Linked DNA regions of Pelodiscus sinensis. The protein of the gene in region 2 interacts with the protein of the main gene of each other region in a pairwise test. Links are inferred from orthologs where the notes say so. Each region holds a gene or a part of one and is shown on either strand. Other genes may lie near its edges.

The links. The genes of interacting proteins can lie anywhere in the genome.
Region 1: the proteins of NELFB (region 2) and negative elongation factor E-like interact in binary tests that used the Homo sapiens proteins (3 or more experiments, as listed by UniProt). The link is inferred for Pelodiscus sinensis from reciprocal best matches to the Homo sapiens genes NELFB and NELFE.

The regions. Positions count from the first base shown.
Region 1 is NW_027466016.1:18,917-28,644, reverse strand, and holds the start of negative elongation factor E-like, read right to left. Parts: upstream 4,111-9,728; 5' UTR 3,952-4,110; intron 1,479-3,951; 5' UTR 1,436-1,478; coding exon 1,361-1,435; intron 842-1,360; coding exon 769-841; intron 111-768; coding exon 1-110. UniProt on the Homo sapiens protein: Essential component of the NELF complex, a complex that negatively regulates the elongation of transcription by RNA polymerase II.
Region 2 is NC_134732.1:3,323,538-3,333,491, reverse strand, and holds the start of NELFB (negative elongation factor B), read right to left. Parts: upstream 4,388-9,954; 5' UTR 4,327-4,387; coding exon 4,225-4,326; intron 3,573-4,224; coding exon 3,409-3,572; intron 3,214-3,408; coding exon 3,114-3,213; intron 2,149-3,113; coding exon 1,918-2,148; intron 1-1,917. UniProt on the Homo sapiens protein: Essential component of the NELF complex, a complex that negatively regulates the elongation of transcription by RNA polymerase II.

The DNA of each region.
Region 1 (9,728 bases), on a different chromosome or scaffold from region 2:
ACCCGAGTTCTTGTTCTCCGCCTTGATGGCGCTGATGGCCCCCGTCTTCACCAGCATCTTGGCCTGCTCCGTGGCCGTGGCCGTGTCCACCGCCGGCTGGTCCGAGATCGCTGGGGGGGGGCAGGGTCAGGCGCCCGATCCCCGCGCCCCTCCCCCGCTGGGACTGCCGGCCCTGCCCCCCCCCGCCGGGACCGCCGGCCCCTGCCCCCCCCCCGCCGGGACCGCCGGCCCCTGTCCCCCCCCCCCGCCGGGACCGCCGGCCCTGCCCCCCCCGCTGGAACCGCCGGGCCCTGCCTCCCCCCCCCCCGCCGGGACCGCCGGCCCCTGTCCCCCCCCCCCGTTGGGACTGCCAGCCCCTGCCCCCCCCCCGCCGGGACCGCCGGCCCCTGTCCCCCCCCCCCGCTGGAACCGCCGGCCCTGCCCCCCCCGCTGGAACCGCCGGCCCCTGCCTCCCCCCCCCCGCTGGAACCGCCGGCCCCTGTCCCACCCCCCGCTGGGACCGCCGGCCCCTGCTGCAACCACGGGGGATCCCCTCCCGCTGTAACCACCAACCCCCCGCCCACTGTAACCACTGGCTTCCGCTTCCCCCTGCTTGTAACCACGGGGGACTGCCCCCCCACTGCCACCACCCGCCCCCACTGCATCCCGCTGTAACCACCGGCCCCCACTGCCCTCCCAGAGATCCCAGCCATCCGGGCTCCCAGGTCCCCTCCGCCCGCCGGCCCCTGCCCCCACCCCCAGCACCCCCCAGGCTCTGCCCGGCCTCACAGCGTTTGATGCCTCCTTGGCTGGCCTGGCTGGTGGAGCTTTGCTGCTTCTTTAGAGCCAGAAGAGCCTTTTTCTGGGGGGTGAAAACGTCCGTCAGTTCCTGCCCCCGCCCCGCAGCCCCAGAACCCCACAGGCCCTGCATACCCCCTCCCCCCGCCCCACAGGGCCCATCTCGCCCCGCACACCCCTCCCCCTGCCCCACACGCCCCTCCCCCCGCCCCACAGGGCCCATCTCGCCCCGCACACCCCTCCCCCTGCCCCACACGCCCCTCCCCCCGCCCCACAGGGCCCATCTCGCCCCGCACACCCCTCCCCCTGCCCCACACGCCCCTTCCCCCGCCCCACAGGGCCCATCTCGCCCCGCACACCCCTCCCCCTGTCCCACACACCCCTCCCCCCGCCCCACAGGGCCCATCTCGCCCCGAGTATCCCCCCCCGCCCCACAGGGCCCATCTTGCCCCGCAATCTTGCCCCGCATACCCCTCCCCCTGCCCCACACACCCCTCCCCCTGCCCCACACGCCCCTCCCCCTGCCCCACAGGGCCCATCTCACCCAGCACCCCCCCCCCCAGGTGGGGCGACAGGCTCCGACCTTCTTCTTCAGCTTGGCAAACTTCTTCTGCAAGGCCTCCTCCTGTTCGGTGAGGCCGGGGGGCAGGACGAGCATGGTGGGGCGCTCGTGGGGGGGAGGCTGCACTGGCACCCGGGGGCTGCGGGAGGAAGCAGACACAGGGGTGAGCGGGGGGGGGGTGGAGCCTCCCCCTGCACTACGGATGGTCGATGTTGGTTCACTGACTAGCCGAGTGATCGCGGATTCTGAGCCGTTACTCGACTGGTCTGGAGTCCCTGGGGGTGGAGGCAGCGCTGCCGGGGAGCCAGGGCGGCCCTCCCGGGTCCAGACCAGCAACGCCTGCAGCGCCCGGCCTTGGCCAAGCACGGCTCTAACACCCCCCCTGGGTCTGGTTGGAGCCTGGGCGCACACGTCGGTACGCAGGCCGGGGGGGGAGTCAGCAGGGCTGCCCAACGCTGCGGAACGTGGACAGGCCGGCGAGACCAGGCCAGAGAGCAGGAACAGCCTGGTCCTAGGACGTCCCACTGTGATAAGAGACAGTCCAGACGCGCTGGCGCATACCGGGCCATTGCAAATGGACCCTGGATATCGGCATACGAGGGATCTTCCGGAAACGGTAGCTGATGGGTAGACAGGCGTAGGCCGACCAAGTCTCGCTTGGCTGTCAGTTGGGTTTAGGAAGAACAATCGCGGGGGGGGGGCCTGTCTGCTCTGTGACCCGGGGTCCCCCTGCGCTGTGAGGTGCGATTCCCAGACTCACCCAGACACGGGTCCCAGCCCGTCCCAGAGGGAGGGGGAGACGGGAGGGCAGGTTCTGGGAGCAAGGCGGCTTCTGGCTGGGAAACATGAGGGGAACAGACTAAGCTGAGGGGGCGATGGACCCCTAACCCTAGGGGTCGGAGGTATCCTGGCCCTGACTCCTGTAGCCACATCGCGTCTGTGCTGGGCTGTATCCCGGAGAAGCAATAACCCCCCTGTTCTACCGGCTGGGGAGTCTGTTCTGGCTGCTACGGGGGTGCAGGATCGGGGACGGGGGGTCCCTGACACACTGGAACAAGGAACGGACCCTTCACACCCCTTCAGTGCCGACGTGCAGGCATCCAAGCCACCACGACCCCCGGCCTGGCACTGTCGGGAGCGCACCGGTGACATGTAAGTGACCTAGGCGCAATGAGGGTATTAGAATCGGCTAGGACTGGCGTGTGCACTTCGCGCTGTGCGAATTGCTTTCAATTTTAAGCCCTGGGCTATGTCTACATTCGCGGCAAGAGGGTTTTCTTGCCCAAGAAGGGGCAGTGTAGATGCTCCTCCTGGCGCAAGAGCCTCTTCTGAAAAAAGTGGGGGCTCATTAGGTATGCAAATGAGGCTCGGCGATATTCCACGCTTCGCCTCATTTGCATATTACTCCCGCAAGAAGCCGCGAGTGTAGCCATAGCTCCAGTGTTTTCAATTGTCCAGCGATTGTTGCTAAGGCTTGTCACACTCAAACAACTGCGGGAACGTCTCTCTGGGGGGTTCCGCTTTCCCTGGGATCTAAAAGCAAAGCACACGACACGGCCCCACTCCCGAGGAGCCCCCGCCCCGCCGTGCCGCTGCCGCGGTGTCCGAGGCAGCAGCGCCGGGAGCCGGTCTGCGAGGGGAGCCTGTTTCAAAGCCAGCCCCCCTGCGGACCAGCCGCCTGCCTGATACAGAGGCAGCAGCGCAGGGGGGCAGCAGCCCGTCTGGGGTCGGGGGGGTCTGAGCTCCCGGAGCCGGCGTCAGCCAGACCTGAGCCAGGCTCCCTGCCCGCCCGGCTCCTAATGCACTTGAACGGCAGAGCCGCAGCAGGGCCAGGCCCCGGATCCGGCGCAAGCCAGACCTGAGCCAGGCTCCCTGCCCGCCCGGCTCCTAATGCACTTGAACGGCAGAGCCGCAGCAGGGCCAGGCCCCGGATCCGGCGCAAGCCAGGACCCAGCTGGGCTGCTGGCCAGTCTGCGCGCACATTTACTGGGGGGGCGGCGAGTCGGCTGTAGCATTCACCGACACGTTTTTGCATATCGATTAATCGGTTACTCAATTCCACGATTACCTCCCGACCCCGGGCGTTACCCACAATGTCCTGGGGTAGCTGCAACCTGCTCCCGCCCCGCCCCCACCCTAAGCCACGCCCCCTGCCCTAGATCCAGGCTCCGCCCCCTGCTCCCACCCCTGCTGCAGGCCCCGCCCCCAGCCCCATACACGTGCACTGCCCCAAGCTCCGCCCTTGCTCCCGCCCCCTGCTGCAGGCCCCGCCCCCAGCCCCATACACGTGCACTGCCCCAAGCTCCGCCCCTGCTCCCGCCCCCTGCTGCAGGCCCCGCCCCCTGCTGCAGGCCCCGCCCCCTCCCTGACCCAAGCTCCTCCCCTGCCTCCGCCACAGGCCCTGCCCCCAGCCCCGCCCCCTAGTCTTACACTGCCCCCAAGCTCCGCCCCCTCCCTGCCCCAAGCCCCGCCCCCTGCTCCCGCCCCAGGCCCCACCAACTCCCCCCCCACCTCCGCAGCCCCGCTCCCATGATGCACCGCGGCAGGCGGCCAGGGAGAGGGGCTGTTGGGGGGGGGGGCGCGCGCGCAGGTTGCCCCCCCCGCGGACTGACCCTCTCCGCTCCCCGTCCGCGGCGGCTCTAGCGTGGCGCGGCTCTCCCCGCTCGCGCGCAGGCTCGGAGCACGCTCATTGGCGGAGCGGCGCCCTCATTTGCCTGCCTCGCGCCCGGCTCCTCTTATCCCTGGGGCGCGGCGCCGGCTGGCGTCACTTCCGCCCCGCAGCGCTCGCCCTGGTTCTCTCCCCGGCTTCCGCCCCGCAGGGCCATGCTGCGCCGGCCCCGCGCGGAGCCCTTCCGGGTCAGGGGGCGGCCCGCGGCTGCCGACATGGAGCGAATGAGTGAGGGGGGGCGCTGGGGGCAAGTGAGGGGGAGGGGCAGGAGGGGGGCAGGAGCGGGTAGTGGGGGGAGGGGCAGGGGTAGTGGGGGGAGGGGCAGGAGGGGGGCAGTGGGGGGGAGGGGCAGGAGGGGGTAGTGGGGGGGAGGGGCGCAGGGGCAGGAGGGGGGCAGGGGTAGGAGGGGGCAGGGGGAGGGGCAGGAGGGGGGCAGGGGCAGGAGGGGGTAGTGGGGGGAGGGGCAGGAGGGGGGCAGGGGCAGGAGGGGGTAGTGGGGGGAGGGGCGCAGGTGCAGGAGGGGGCAGGGGTAGTGGGGGGAGGGGCAGGAGGGGGCCGTGGCAGGCTCCAGCGGGATCTGCAGGGGGAGGGGTCTCTGCCTGTTGCAGAGTCCGACCCCCCCTTGTGCCCCCCCCCAGCGCTGCCCCCCCGGGGGCCCCTGGAGCTGCCCCTGTCCCTGCTGGAAGTCGGCTGCGCCGGGCGCTTCGAGCTCGTCACCCGGCCGGAGGGGCCCGATGGCGGCACCATCCCCCTCTGCACGGTGAGACCCCCCCCCGGCCGCCATCTCCTTCCCTCCCCTACCCCGCCACTGCCCCACGGGCCTTTCACACCTCCCCTCTCCCTCTCCAGCTGCCCCACGGGCTGCCCCCCTTCACCATGGACCTGGCCTCTGAGCTGGAGCGGCGCTTCCTGGCCAGCCCCGAATGGCTGCCCCTCCACCGCTTCGACAGGGCCCACAGGTGAGTCCTGGTGCCCACCCGCCTCCCCGAAAACCCCTGCGGGCACCAGCCCTTCGGCCGCGGAGAGGGGCGGGACATCGGGGTGCAGCGGGCGCTGACTCCGCCTCTGTGCCCCCCTCCAGGTGCTGGCCGCGGGAGAAGGACGTGTGGTCGCTGCTGGAGACAGACGCCACCCCTGTGCACGCCACTCTGCAGGCGGAGCGGGACCCCACCACGGGGCAGATCCTGGCCTTCCGAGAGGTGAGCCCATCCAGGCACGGGGGTCCTGTCCTGGCAGCCACACTGCGCCCAAAACGTGCTGGCCTGGACGCCTGGGTCCCATGCCTCCCTCCCTAGGCTGGGGGGGGCCTTTCGGCACATGAGAGATGCTGGCCTGGGGGACTGATTTAAAAAACTAAACGCACCTTTAATCCTTCTGTTACCCAACAGCCGTGTTTATAACAAAGAATACAAAATGTACAATGCTCTCCTAATTTCGTAAGCACGAGCGATACCAACAAAAGAGGGGGTCTCGCTCAATTCTCCCACTACAAGTCTTGTGCAACAGCTTCAGTTGTGCTCCCAAATATAGACCCATGTACGCAAGCTAACTGCATTTAAAAAAAAAACCCTACAAGAAAGTCCACTCAGTCCTATTTCCTGTTCGGCCAATTGCTCAGACTCACGGGTTGGCCGCAGTGGGTGTGAGGATGCTGCCTGTTTCTTATTCCCACGGCCACCTGAGTGTGAGAGCCGGCCTGTGCCGCTGTGGCCGGCGTCCCCGAGTATTTACGTGCCGGATGCGCTAAAGTTTCACACGCCCCTTCGTGCTGCGCCCGCCCTGCCAGCGCACACGTCTCCTTGGCGTTAAGGGGTTCTGCCCGATTCCCATCCAAAGCAGCGCGGGTGGACGCGGGTTCCTTTCCGTCTGCTCAGCGGAAGGCGGATTCTCTTTTTCGGTGCTTCGGGTTGTGTGGTTCCTCCCTCGGGGCGTTGATCCTTTCAGGCTCCCGAGAGCCCACGTACGACCCCCCTCGTCACGCCCTGGGAGAGGAGGCTGAGTGCGGGGGCAGGAGACCAGCCCCCCTGAAGCGCAGAGTTCCAAGCGGCCTCGTGCCCTGGGGGTGGCGGGGTGAGCAGGTCGGGCGCGCGGGGGGTTGAGCAGCGCTGCCCTGCGAGTCCCCGGCCGGCGGGGCGGAGGCCTGAGCGGGGGGCGGCGTAAGGGGCGTTTCCGGGGCTTTGCGACGCTGCCCTGGCGCTGTCCGGGGGCCACGGTGAGTGAAGGCCCCGCTCCTCGCTCTCCGCCCCAGGCGCTGCTGGACAACATGGGGCTGTCGGCCAAGAACTCGCTCTCCCTCCAGCGGGCCCCGGGGCCCCCCGCCCAGGCCTTGCGGGGCAGCAGCACCAACTACCCCTTCTGGCCAGGTACGTCCCCCTCCTTCTCCCCCGCCCCCCCCCCCCCCATCGGTGCTGCTGGGACTCAGCCTCTCTCTGCTCCCCAGCGGGATGGACGAGCCCAGCTTGGAGCAGATCTGCGCCCAGGACCAGCTGGAGGAGGATGTGGACTTTGAGAAAGGTGTGAGGGGGCCGGGTGTCCTGCCTCTCCCCCGCCCCCATCCCCTCGGGCCTGGCGGGCTCTGGGTGCCCTTCAGTGCCCTGCCCTGGGGCCGGGTGGAGGCGGCACCCCTAGAGGGGCCAGACCCCCCCCCCCCCGCCCTGCCAGGTCCTGCCCTGGGGCCCGGTGGGAGGCGGCACCCCTAGAGGGGCCAGACCCCCCCCCCACCCTGCCAGGTCCTGCCCTGGGGCCGGGTGGGAGGCAGCACCCCTAGAGGGGCCAGACCTGGCGCCCCCTGGTGGAGACAGGCCCCTGCCCCCTCTCTCCCCCCCGCCCCCTCCCAACTTTGGCTGGTGTAACTCTGCCTGTTTTCCTTCCCCGCTGCCCAGACTTGCTGACGGTGCCCCCGGCTGGAAGAAGGGGGTGGACTTCAAGCCGCAAGGTACTGATCTGGGGGGCTGGTCTCTCCATGGGGGGCCGGGCAGACACTGGTGTCCTGGAGGGGGGCACCCCGCTGGCTGGGCTCGCTTGGAGGGACTCCCTCCTCCCGGCGCCCCCTAACCCCCCCCTTTTGCCCCCTAGCTGCGCCGCGCCAGAGCGCACCGGGCCTGCTGCCCCTGGCCGGGCTGCTGGGGACCCTGGACTCCTTCCAGCTGGGCGGCTCCAGCGACGAGGAGGAGGAGACGAAGAGGAAGACCAAGGGGAAGGAGGGAGCGACGCCCCCCGCCCCTGCCCCCGCCCCCCAGCGGGCAGACAGCCTGGAGGAGCTGGTGCTGAAGGTGGAGGCGGGACAGCTGGGGGGGTGGATGTTGGGGGACGGGGCTTGTTCTGGTGGGGGGGAGGGGAGGCTGTGGGCAGGGTGCAGAAAAGGGGGGGTTGGGCTGGGGGAGGGGGGTTTTGGGGGCAGGCCGAGGCAGGAACGCCCTGGGGGGCGGAGCCCCGTAACCAGCCCTTCTGCCCCCACAGGAGGTGACCCCCGGACCTCCCCCGCCCGCCCAGGCCGCGCCCCCCGAGCCGCCCAAGGAGCAGTGGGCGATTCCCGTCGACACCTCCTCGCCCGTGGACGACTTCTACAAACGCATCCCCGACCCGGCCTTCCGGGTGAGACCCTGCCTGGGCCGCGCTGGGCTGGGGCCCTGAGGGGGGCGGGGGCTGCCCTGGGGTGGGGGAGCCAGGGAGACGTGTCACGGGGTTGTGGGGCCCAGGGCCGGATGCTAGCCTCAGTTCCCTTGTGCCGTGGGGGTCGGCTGGGGAGCCTGGGGACGCGCCACGGGGAGAGGGGCGTCCCGCCTGACTCGGTTTCCCCGGCCCAGTGGCCGTTCGAGCCGGACGTGTTCCAGAAACAGGCCATCCTGCACCTGGAGCGGCGCGACTCGCTCTTCGTGGCCGCGCACCACCTCGGCCGGCAAGACGGTGGTGGCCGAATACGCCATCGCCCTGGCCCAGAAGCACATGACCAGGTGAGGGCCCCTCCCCCTGCTGGATCTAGCCCCTCCCCCCACTGGTCCCTGTTGTTAACCCTTCCTGCCCCCCCCCAGGACCATCTACACCTCCCCCATCAAGGCCCTGTCCAACCAGAAGTTCCGGGATTTCAAGAACACCTTTGGGGACGTGGGGCTGCTGACGGGGGATGTGCAGCTGCACCCCGACGCCTCCTGCCTCATCATGACCACCGAGATCCTGCGGTGAGCGGCGGGGAGTCGGGGCGAGGGGCTGCGGGATGGGGGGGCTGCGGGTGGATACTCGGGGCTGTGGGGCGGGGACAGAGGCTGCGGGCCAGGGAGTCGGGGCGAGGGGCTGCGGGATGGGGGGGCTGCGGGTGGATACTCGGGGCTGCGGGCCAGGGAGTCGGGCTGGGTTGGGGGCGGGCTCTAGCTGTCTGTCTGTCCGTCTGGCACAGGTCCATGCTGTACAACGGCTCGGACGTGATCCGGGACCTGGAATGGGTGATCTTTGACGAGGTTCATTACGTGAATGACGCTGAGGTGAGGAGCAGGGCGAGGGGCAGAGGTGGGGATTGACCCCCGTGTCTCCCCAGCGCAGGGTGGTGTGGGAGGAGGGGTGGGCGGCCATTCCCTGACCCCGTGTCCTCCCCCAGCGCGGGGTGGTGTGGGCGGAGGGGGTGGGCGGCCGTTCCCTGACCCCGTGTTCCCCCAGTGCGGGGTGGTGTGGGCGGAGGGGATGGGCGGCCGTTCCCTGACCCCGTGTCCCCCCAGTGTGGGGTGGTGTGGGAGGAGGGGTGGGCGGCCGTTCCCTGACCCTGTGTCGTCCGCCCCCCCCCCCCCCCCCAGCGCGGGGTGGTGTGGGAGGAGGGGTGGGCGGCTGTTCCCTGACCCCGTGTTCTCCCCCCCCCCCCCCCCAGCGCGGGGTGGTGTGGGAGGAGGTGCTGATCATGCTGCCCGAACACGTGAACATCATCCTGCTGAGCGCCACCTGTGCCCAACACACTGGAGTTCGCCGACTGGATCGGGTGAGGGGCTGTGGGGTAGGGGAGTTGGGGGGGGCGGTGGGACAGGGGAAGGGCTGTGGAGAAGGGGGCAGGGGAGTTGGGGGGGCAGGGGAGTTGGGGGGCCTGTGGGGCAGGGAAGGGTTATGGGGAAGGGGGCAGGAGAGTTGGGGGGCTGTGGGGACTGAGTAGCCGCCTCAGCAAAGCAAACTGCCCAGCCACCACATTGGGGGTGGGGGGCTGAGCAGGAAGGGGAGGCTGGGGGGGGGGGGGGGGCTTTGGGGGCAGGCAGGGGGGGCCGTGAGCACTGACCTCCCCCCCGCCCCCCCCCCCCCCCCCCCCCCCGGGCGCAGGCGGATGAAGCGGAAGCGGATCTACGTGATCAGCACCCTGCGGCGCCCGGTGCCCCTGGAGCACTATCTGTACACGGGCACCAGCCACAAGACCCAGCACGAGCTCTTCCTGCTCCTCGACGCCCGCGGCGCCTTCCTCACCAAGGGGTGAGTCCCCCCTGGCCGGGCCTCTGCCCTCGCCCGCCCCCCGGCTGCCCCGGGCGGCTCCCCTCACCCGCTCTCCCGCCCCAGGTACTACGCGGCGGTGGAGGCCAAGAAGGAGCGCACCAGCAAACACGCCCAGACCTTCGGGGCCAAGCAGCCCACGCACGTGGCGGCCGGGCCGGGCCAGGTCAGCACCCCTTGATGTGCCTGGTGGGGGCTCCCAGGAGATTGGGGGGTGCGGAGGAGTGTGCGGGGGATTTGGGAGTGTGGTGGGGCAGGGCTGGG
Region 2 (9,954 bases):
GGTGGTGGGGGTTGTCGGGGGAGCGGGGCTGACCGGGGAAGATTGGTGGGTGGCGGGGGGAACCGACCGCTGGAAGCAGGGCTAGATGGGGGCAGCAGGGCTGGACTGGGGAGATCGGGAAGAGAAGGGGGGGGGAGAGTGGGACTGACCTGGGCATATGCAGACCCTGGCAGACCAGTGAGTCTGGCTGCGGATTCCATTTTGCCCCCTCCCTGGAGTAGTTGCGAACTGCCTGGCAGGTAGACACACTCAGACAGCGCAAGCACATCTACCAGCCAGGCAGCTAAGGACTATTACACTTAATTATATTAAGACGTACCTAATTAGAAAATACCAGGCATTTTATATGTCTGGTAATTTCTCAATTTCTTTTCCAGACAAAACCTTCAAATACCAGACTGTCCGGTACAAAACTGGACACCTGGCAACCCTACCCCTCCTTGCACTCTCCCTCCTAGCCAGATACCCCACCCCCAATCTGCTCCTGCTCCTGCCTCCTGAAGTGCTCATGTGGCGCCGGGTTACCCAAACCCTGGCCCAGGCTGGGTGGAGGATGCAACCGGGCAAAACACTGAAAATGTATTCATTTTTCATTCTTTTTTTTAAATATGCGTTTATATTTTTGGGCTGCAAAAGACAGTTCTGAAAAAAAACTGGGTTCCAACTAAAGTAAAAAGTTTGGGAACCCCTGGTCTAGCCAGCTTTCTATCCATCTTACAGTCCATTTATCCAATCCATATTCCCTTAACTTGCTGGCAAGAATATTGTGGGTCACTGTATCAAAAGCTTTGCTAACACTGGCACTGCGGGTTTTGGGAGGACCAGAAACAACTTATTTGAATATTCATCATTTGCTTATTGAATATGCAAATATATGTTATCGGTCCTGAAAAACCTCGTGAATGGATTTACTGGTCCCTGTGTCAAAAAGTTTGGGAACCCCTGCTATATGGTATTATGAAAAGCCATCCTATTCCAGGAACATCCCACTTTCCTGGCACAACCAAACCCTGACCTTACTTTAAATTATGAGAAGAGGAAACAATATTCCAAATTTGGTAGTCCAAGCTCTTACCGTTTAGGAGGAGTTCTTGAACAAACAAACAGATTCAAGGACAAACTCTCTCAAATATACAGTAGATAAAGCTGGGCGTTATATTAAATCCCAGACTGATAGAACGAGGAAAAAATATTAATTACACATTTTGCTTAGCAATTTAAATGTTATTTTAAAAAATCTGCTTAAACAAAAGATTAACCTATTGGAATGGCACCTAGTGACAAAGTAATACAATTATAACAACATTGAGCTTTATGTTTAATTTATTAAATATAAAATTAGCCTGTTTATTTTAGGGATGTAAATGGTTAACCAGTAGGGGCCGGAGCAGCTTCCCACCTGCCATGGGTGGGGGGCTGCTCCAGCTCCGCAGGGCCTGCTGTGGGTAGGTGGTACTCTAGCCCAGCCAGAGCAGCCCCTGTTGGCAGAAGGCTTGACCAAGGCTCACTACAGGCAGGGAGGTCCAGCGCAGCAGGGGCAGTCCCAGTCTGCAGCAAGGGGGGGGCCATTCCAGCACGGGCAGTGATAGGTGGGCAGCTGCTCACCCCCGCAACTGCCCTCCCCATTAATCGGTTAACTGGTTAAACATTACTTTTAACCAGTTAACTAATTAAAAATTGGCTTTGACATCCCTAGTTTATTTCATTAAGACTTGTTTAAAGAAGATAAACTGACACTAAGTAACTAGCCAAAATATTTACATAGCTTTTTCCAGGTGGTAGCAAAGTTTCAAGGCCAGATGGATGCTCAATTCTCTGATAATACTGGCAGGATAGGAACCCAATATGCTCCCTTTTCAAAGACAGAGATTGGAGAATCCTGTTCCAAATTTCACTGTAAGTTCTTCCTGTTCTTACCTCTCCCTGACGTCTCGTTTTTGGAGAGGGACTGAAGAAGTTGTGCAAGACAGAGAGATCACTACTGAAGAGAGTGTTTTCTTTTTCCAGGATGTACTGTTTTAGCAATGGGGACACCTCATCACCGAACAGAGCTTGGTTATCCTGCCAGATCTGGCGCTTCACCTCCACGGCACATGCTTTGTATAAATCCTTATCTGCCATCACTAACTTCAGTTTCTTTTCAGGGACCTATGAACAACAGTGCAGAGTCAGGAAAAAGTTTAGCTAGGGGTTCACCGGTCAGATTGTTAAAATGGTAGGTAGTTAACTACTGGAAAGATCGACATCACAGCCTTGAACTGGCCAGTAACTTCTATAGCCAGTGCAATTAAAACATAAGGAAACAGCAGAGACCCTTCTTTTATGATCCTGCCCCTCCAAAAGGATCCTGATTTTAAAGTATTTAGCTTTCGAGATAAAGCATTACATTTTCCTTCAGTTAGTTTTACAACAAATATCTTCCCCTATTAAAAAAGGAAGAAAAGCATTCTACAGTGACGGTTCAAAGCTCTACAAAGTACAAAGCACTAGCAGAGGTTTTGAATAGGGATGAGAGTTTAATCAATTAACCCATAAACTTTTAAACTGATGTTTATCAGTTAATCTCAGCCAACTCCCAGGGAGTCCTCTTCAATGTGGCAAGGCAGCAAAACCTCCTGCCTGGTTACCATATTACATGATTTTTAACATCCCTAGTTTTGAAGCGATTATATTAAGGATACTTAGTGCCTTACATGAAGGGTTGTTTCCTTTTACGTGCCCTTTCCCAGAAATATTGCCCTTTACAAAAAAAAAATCTAGCTTTAAAATTTAAGCTATATAATTTACTAGGTCATCCTTACAATGTCCCACTTGCCGTTTAAATCAGTGATGAAAAAGCCCCCTACCACTGAGTTCAATCTATTTTTCAGAAGGATGAGGGAGGACAGGCACATTTTAAAAACAGAAAAACACGCTTCTCTCGCTAATTCATTTATAAAGTATGAAATGCTTTTTAAACTACATTAAAATTAACTGATATGAGAATCAAAGTGTAAGCCAAAATCTCTACCAGTGAATGATTAACTGAAGAGTTTGCAAATGTGCCACACAGCCCAGCTAACAGCAGAAAGTAAAAGGGACTGTTGTAACCAGGAGATATAAGGAGATTTTACCTTGGGAAGGTGTTTCATGACACACATCACCACAGGCTGTATAGATGGCATCTTGACCAAGGAAAAACATTTTTCCAGCAGATCCTCTAGCTTTTTGTATCTGGAAACATGCAAGCAAGAAAAGTTGCAAGGTAAAGTTTTCAAAACCCCTGAGTCACTTAAGGTCTTAAGTGCTTGAATTGCTTTTGAAAATGGGACTTAAGCACTTAAGTTTTTTTAAAAAACTTTACCTTCCATGATTTTGCAATTAATTTCTAATGATGAGTAATATGCAGCAACAAGATCAGTAACACACCTTTCCTCAACTTTTCCTTCTGAGGCAATGGCTGAAACTCTCTCTAGCAGTTTCTCCCTCAGCTCATCAAATACAGACTGATGAAATTCCAACCTAGGAGTGCCGTGGAGGTCCAAGAATGGCAGAGCAGACTGGAGAGAGGGCAGGAGGACTCCATTTTCTGTCTAGCAAAACAAACACCATAAGAGTCCTAAGTTTTGGATTAAACACAAATTCCTGGTTGGCAATAAAACAGAGTGCCCGCCAAGAGAAACAAGGCTTCCTTCTCACATTTCAGCCTGGGGTACGCTGCTAAAAACAAAACCTGTTTGCAAAACAGCTAAATCCTGACCGGTTTGGGGGGGGGGCTCCCTTCCTTTTTAATGGTGGTAGAGATGCAGCCCTTAGTCTGGTGCAGCTGGAACAAAAGGCAGGACCAGGCAGCGCTTTAAAGACTAACAAGATGGTTTATTAGGAGATGTACCAGGGCATCAGCTCGGTAACCCCCCCCCAGGACCCCCCTTCGCCAGAGCCATGGGGGGAGGGGGGACACGCCCCGCCCCAAGGAGGGAGTCGCTTGCGCGGCGCAGGACCAGCCTGGGTTAGGCCGCTTCCGGGGGGGGGGGGTGAAGCCCTTTGTAGGAGGGTCCCGCCGCGCGGGGGGGGGGGGGGCGGCTCCTCACGCGGAGCCTCGGGCCCCAGACGCGCCGATCCCAGCGGGGTCTCCCTGCGAGGGGGGGCGGCCAGTGGGGGGGGCACTCCCATGAGCCCCCCCAGTCCCCGCGCATGCGCCCTGCGCGGTCCTCGAGGCGCCGGCCTCGGGCCCCCGGGCCGCACCTGGAACTGCTCGATGGCCTTGAGCGGTTCGGTGCAGTTGGTCAGCGTCTCCTTCAGGTCCTCGCCGTTGGCCACCCCCAGCTCCTGCAGCCCCGCGAACATGGCGGCGGGGCGGGTCCGTCGCCGGCCCCGGCCCCCCGGACCCCGCGGCCCCGGCACGCAGGTTCCGGCTCGGCGGGCGGAGCCGGGCTGCGAGCGCCACAGCGACCCCTGCGGCCCGCGGCCGGCGTGGCGGCCTCCCCCCCACCGCCCCCGCCTGCGGCCGGCCCCCTAGAGACACCCCGCGGGAATGCCGCCTCCCCGCTGCGTCCCCCACCCCGTGTGCTGCCTCCCCCCCCACAGAGATAGGCTTGGCAGACGGGGTTACAAAAAATACCCAACACCCCCCCCCCAAAAAAAAAACACCGGGAAAAAATTCTGTTGGGGGGGGGGGGGGAAAGGGGAGACCAAAGTAGTGGAGAAAAAAAAGGGCGCTGCGCCTTTAAGTGGCTCTGGTCTCAGTGCCCCCCATCCCAGTGCACTCACCCCTCCCCCAGAGCCAGGTGCCCCAGTGCCCCCCCATCCCAGTGCACTCACCCCTCCCCCAGAGCCAGGTGCCCCAGTGCCCCCCCATCCCAGTGCACTCACCCCTCCCCCAGAGCCAGGTGCCCCAGTGCCCCCCCCCATCCCAATGCACTCATCCCTCCCCCAGAGCCAGGTGCCCCAGTGCCCCCCATCCCAATGCACTCACCCCTCCCCCAGAGCCAGGTGCCCCAGTGCCCCCCCCATCCCAATGCACTCACCCCTCCCCCAGAGCCAGGCGCCCCAGTGTCCCCCCATCCCAGTGCACTCACCCCTCCCCCAGAGCCAGGTGCCCCAGTGCCCCCCCATCCCAGTGCACTCACCCCTCCCCCAGAGCCAGGTGCCCCAGTGCCCCCCCATCCCAGTGCACTCACCCCTCCCCCAGAGCCAGGTGCCCCAGTGCCCCCCCCATCCCAATGCACTCATCCCTCCCCCAGAGCCAGGTGCCCCAGTGCCCCCCCATCCCAATGCACTCACCCCTCCCCCAGAGCCAGGTGCCCCAGTGCCCCCCCATCCCAATGCACTCACCCCTCCCCCAGAGCCAGGCGCCCCAGTGTCCCCCCATCCCAGTGCACTCACCCCTCCCCCAGAGCCAGGCGCCCCAGTGTCCCCCCATCCCAGTGCACTCACCCCTCCCCCAGAACCAGGCGCCCTAGTGCCCCCCCATCCCAATGCACTCACCCTTCCCCAGAGCCAGGCGCCCTAGTGCCCCCCCATCCCAATGCACTCACCCTTCCCCCAGAACCAGGCGCCCTAGTGCCCCCCCATCCCAATGCACTCATCCCTCCCCCAGAACCAGGCGCCCTAGTGCCCCCCCATCCCAATGCACTCACCCTTCCCCCAGAGCCAGGCCCCTCACAGGCTATGTCTACACTTGTGGCTTCTTGTGCGAGTAATATGCAAATGAGGCTAAGCATACCTAATGAGCCTAATTTCGTTACACCTATTACTTTTCAGGAAGAATGGCATTGCGCAAGAGGGGTTTTTTTGCGCAAGAAGGGGCAGTGTAGATGCTCCTTCTTGCGCAAGATCTTCTTCTGAAAAAAATGGTGGCTCACTAGGTATGCAAATGAGGCTCAGCAATATTCCACGCTTAGCCTCATTTGCATATTGCTCGCACAAGAAGCCGCGAGTGTAGACATAGCCCCAGTGTCCCCCATCCTAGTGCACTCACCCCTCCCCCTGAGCCAGGCATCCCCAGCACCAGGAGCGCTCCGCCCCAATCAAATCACACACCCCCACCTCCTCTCCTGCCGCAGAGCCAGGCACCCGAGGAACAGGATGGCCGGGTAAGGAAATCTTACTCTTAAAGTCACCGCTCCTGCCGCCCAGCCTCGCTGCCTGGGTTCCCCGTGTGTAGAGGGAGGCATCACGTGGCCAGCTCCCGGGTCTCTGCTCAAAGCGTCACATGAGCTAGAGCAGCATATGCTTGCTCCCACCCCAGCCCAGTGCCCTCCTAGCATGGCGCCTGGGGGCAAGTGTCCCCTTCTGCCCCCCTTCACTACGCCTCTGCCGCACTCCTCACTTCCCTACCCCTGCCAGATGTGGCAGGGGAAAATTGTCCCCACTGGGCTTCCGTCCAAGGGAAATAGGAAATACTGGACATTTCACATGTCTGGTATTTTCTGGTTTTTTTTTTACTGGACGGGGGACCCGAATAATGAACAATCTGGGTGAAAACCAGATACCTACCTAGAGACCTACGAGAATGCCATTTTCTTGTTCCCTATAGAACTTCTGGGGATGCTGCCTCCTTCCTTATATCCTCCCAAGTATAAGAGCATAAGAATGGCCAGACTGGGTCAGACCAAAGGTTCAATCAGCCCAGTATCCTGTCTGCCAACAGTGGCCAATGCCAGGTGCCCCACAGGGAGTGAATCGAACAGGTAATGATCAAGCGATCTCTCTCCTGCCATCCATCTCCACCCTCTGATAAACAGAGACTGGGGACACCGTTCCTACCCATCCTGGCTAGTAGCCATTAATGTTTATCACGTTACCGGAGTTTAAGGGAAACAGCCAGGTCACTGCTGCGCCCATGGGGGGGGGGGTTTGTCCCAAAAGTTGATAGAAAGGGGGCCATGTGAAGTGTCAAACAAAAGCTTATTGTCTACGGATTCCGTACATGCTCTTCGTATACCTGTATAATGTCTGTGTGTGTTATAAGTATGTACTCTATGTTGATGCTGAAAGATTCTCTGTCTGAGGCAGAGCAATGGGCCGGGAATGTTTGCCCATGGACATGCTAATGAGCAAAGCTCCAGGGAACAATGGACCGCTGGAGGCCAAAGACACAGCTGGCCACTGGCCATGTGACTCTCCAGCTTAGAAGAAGCCAGGAGGGGATATAAATATGCCAGGTGGCCGACTCCATCGGGGTGCTCAGCTCAGCTCTTCATCTCAGAGGCAAGAGTGCAGGGATCAAGGAGCCAGAAAGAACTGTACAAAAACCTGTAGGGGAACACTTCAATCTCCCTGGACACACAATTGCAGATCTAAAGGTAGCCATCCTGCAGCAAAAAAACTTCAGGACCAGACTTCAAAGAGAAACTGCTGAGCTACAGTTCATCTTCAAGTTTGACACAATCAACTCAGGATTAAACAAAGACTGTGAATGGCTCGCTAACTACAAAAGCAGCTTCTCCTTTCTTGGAATTCACACCTCCAGATCAGCAACTAGAAGTGGGCCTCATCCTCCCTGATTGGATCCACCTCGTCATCTCCAGCCTGATTCTGGCCTGCATATTTATACCTGCCTCTGGAAATTTCCACTACATGCATCTGACGAAGTGGGTCTTTGTCCACGAAAGCTTATGCTCCAACACTTCAGTTAGTCTATAAGGTGCCACAGGACTCCTCGCCGCTTTTGCAGATTCAGACTAACACGGCTCCCCCTCTGATACTTGTCCCCTCTCCATGTGCTGCTTGAGCCGCAGGGCTGTCTCCCACTTTGCGTGACTTTGTTGCTTTGGCATCCCTGTCACATATTTCCACATTTGCTGAACTGCGGGGAGGTTGCAGGCACTGGCCTCCTGGCCCCTAGAATTCTCCAGTCTCCCAGGCAGTGAGTTATATGGGCCCCAGAGGTGCTCTAACACCATGAATACTCATGGTCCGGGGCATGGCTCTGTCAATGTTAACTGTAACGCATCCTGAGTGTGACTTAATCACCCAATGATCCTTACTCCACTTGAATGACAAGCCGTTTGTTACCTTAATTACCCTACCTGTGTTTATAAACAAACTCCCTGCTGCACAGGCTGTGCTGTTCCCAGCTTCGGAATTCATCACAGGCCGAGTTTGAGGAGGGCTAGCTACACTTAACATTTAACATTCTTTAAACTTTTTTAACCTAAAACCAAAACCACCTGTTTTAAAAAAATAAATATAAAAAAAGGATAAACTCTACATGTAAAAAGAGGATGCAGGCAGAAGCCCATCAATGCTAACACCTGTGTCTTCCTAATAACTGGACTTCCCTCCCCTGAAGAGGTCTCAGTGTGATAGGTTATTGCATCACCTGGAAGGAAGGTCCCAACTGTGGATAATTTTCTTCTGCTCCATTTGGACGTTCTCCTCCCCGCAAAAACGCAGAGGCTGGCACAGCTGTCCTGATTGGTCCTATGGACAGGGCGGCTCTGAGGAGATGACTATAGCTGGACTGCTTGGAAATAGTGAATTAATTAAATTTAACACGCCTGTGGTTAGAAAAATACCACAGTAGCTCAACACCATGGCATTTAATTTCATAAAGGGGAACTACACACAATGAAGAGGTTAGTTAAACAGAAATTGAAAGGTACAGTGTCAAAAGTGAAATCCCCGTAAGTTTTCAAACTTTTCAGACACCCTAATAGAGGCTCAGGTTAAATGTGTGCCTCAAGCTAGAAAAACATAGAGAACTGAAAAAGTGCCACCATGGCTGAACCGAGTAAAAGAAGCAGTGGGAAATAAAAAGGCATTGGTAGAGAGTGGAGGTGAAATCCTAGTGAGGAAAATAGAAAGGAGCAAATGCCAAAGGAAGTGTAAAAATATAATTAGGAAGGCCCAAAACAATCTGAAGAACAGCTAGCCAAAACCAAAAAGTAATAGCAAAAAATGTTAAGTACGCCAGAAGTCTGCTAAACAAACTCCCTTCCAGAGCCTGAGGCGGGTGGTGGCGGTGGGAGTTTGGATGGAGAAGGGGTTTAGGCTCTGGGTATTCTGGGCACCACCAACATTTCAGCCAACTTGCCACCCCTGCCCAGGAGCCCCAGCCTCTCCTGTCCCCTACTCCCTGCGGGCTCCCCTCCCAGCACCAGGCTTCCTTCAAGTGTGGCTCCTGAACTCACCGTGGTTCCCAGCACCCACAACTCCTGGCCACAGCGGGGAACTCACTGTGGGAGCTGGGAGCTTTGGGGAACTCATCACAGCTCCTGGCCACAGCGGGGAAGTCACCACGGGCTGGGAGCCACGGGGAACTCACCGCAGGGAGTTCCCCACGGCTCCCGCTGACTCTCCGGGCCGGGACAGGAGACACCAGTGAATATGCAGAATCACAAATAGCAAATCTGCGAATCAAAAGGGTCTCATGCACACAGATAGAAACCAGCAGAATCTGGCAACCGGCGTGGGCAGCAGTAAACCAAACATCTTGCAGGCCACACATAGAACCCCAATGGGCCACATGGGGCCTGTGGGCCACACGTTGCCCACCTCTGCTATAGAGGCACCCACCCATCTCTGCCTCTCTCCTTCCAGAGAGATCGGTGTTTTACCTGCAAATGATCATCTATGCCAGTGGTCCCCAACGTTTTGGGGCTGCCGGGCGCCTGGGGGCGGGGCCGCTCACGTGCTGCGTGTATGGGGGCGGGGCCGCTCACAGGCCACGTGTCTGGGGGCGGGGCCAAGCATGTGCCACACGCCCGAGGTCGGCACCGGCATGTGCTGCGATCCTGGGCAGGGGCTGCCCAGGTTCCGCACAGCGCCCCCGGGGCTGGTGCCGGGGCCGGGTCTGGCGCGGTGCCCCCGGGAGCGGAGCGGGGGCTGGGGCTGGGGCCGGGGCTGGGGCCAGGGCTGGCGCGGCGCCCCCGGGGGCGGGGCAAAGGCCAGGGCCGGGGGTCAGGGTCGGCACCGGCACGCGCGGCGCACCCGGGGCCGGGGCTGGCCATGCGCCCGGGGCTGGCACCT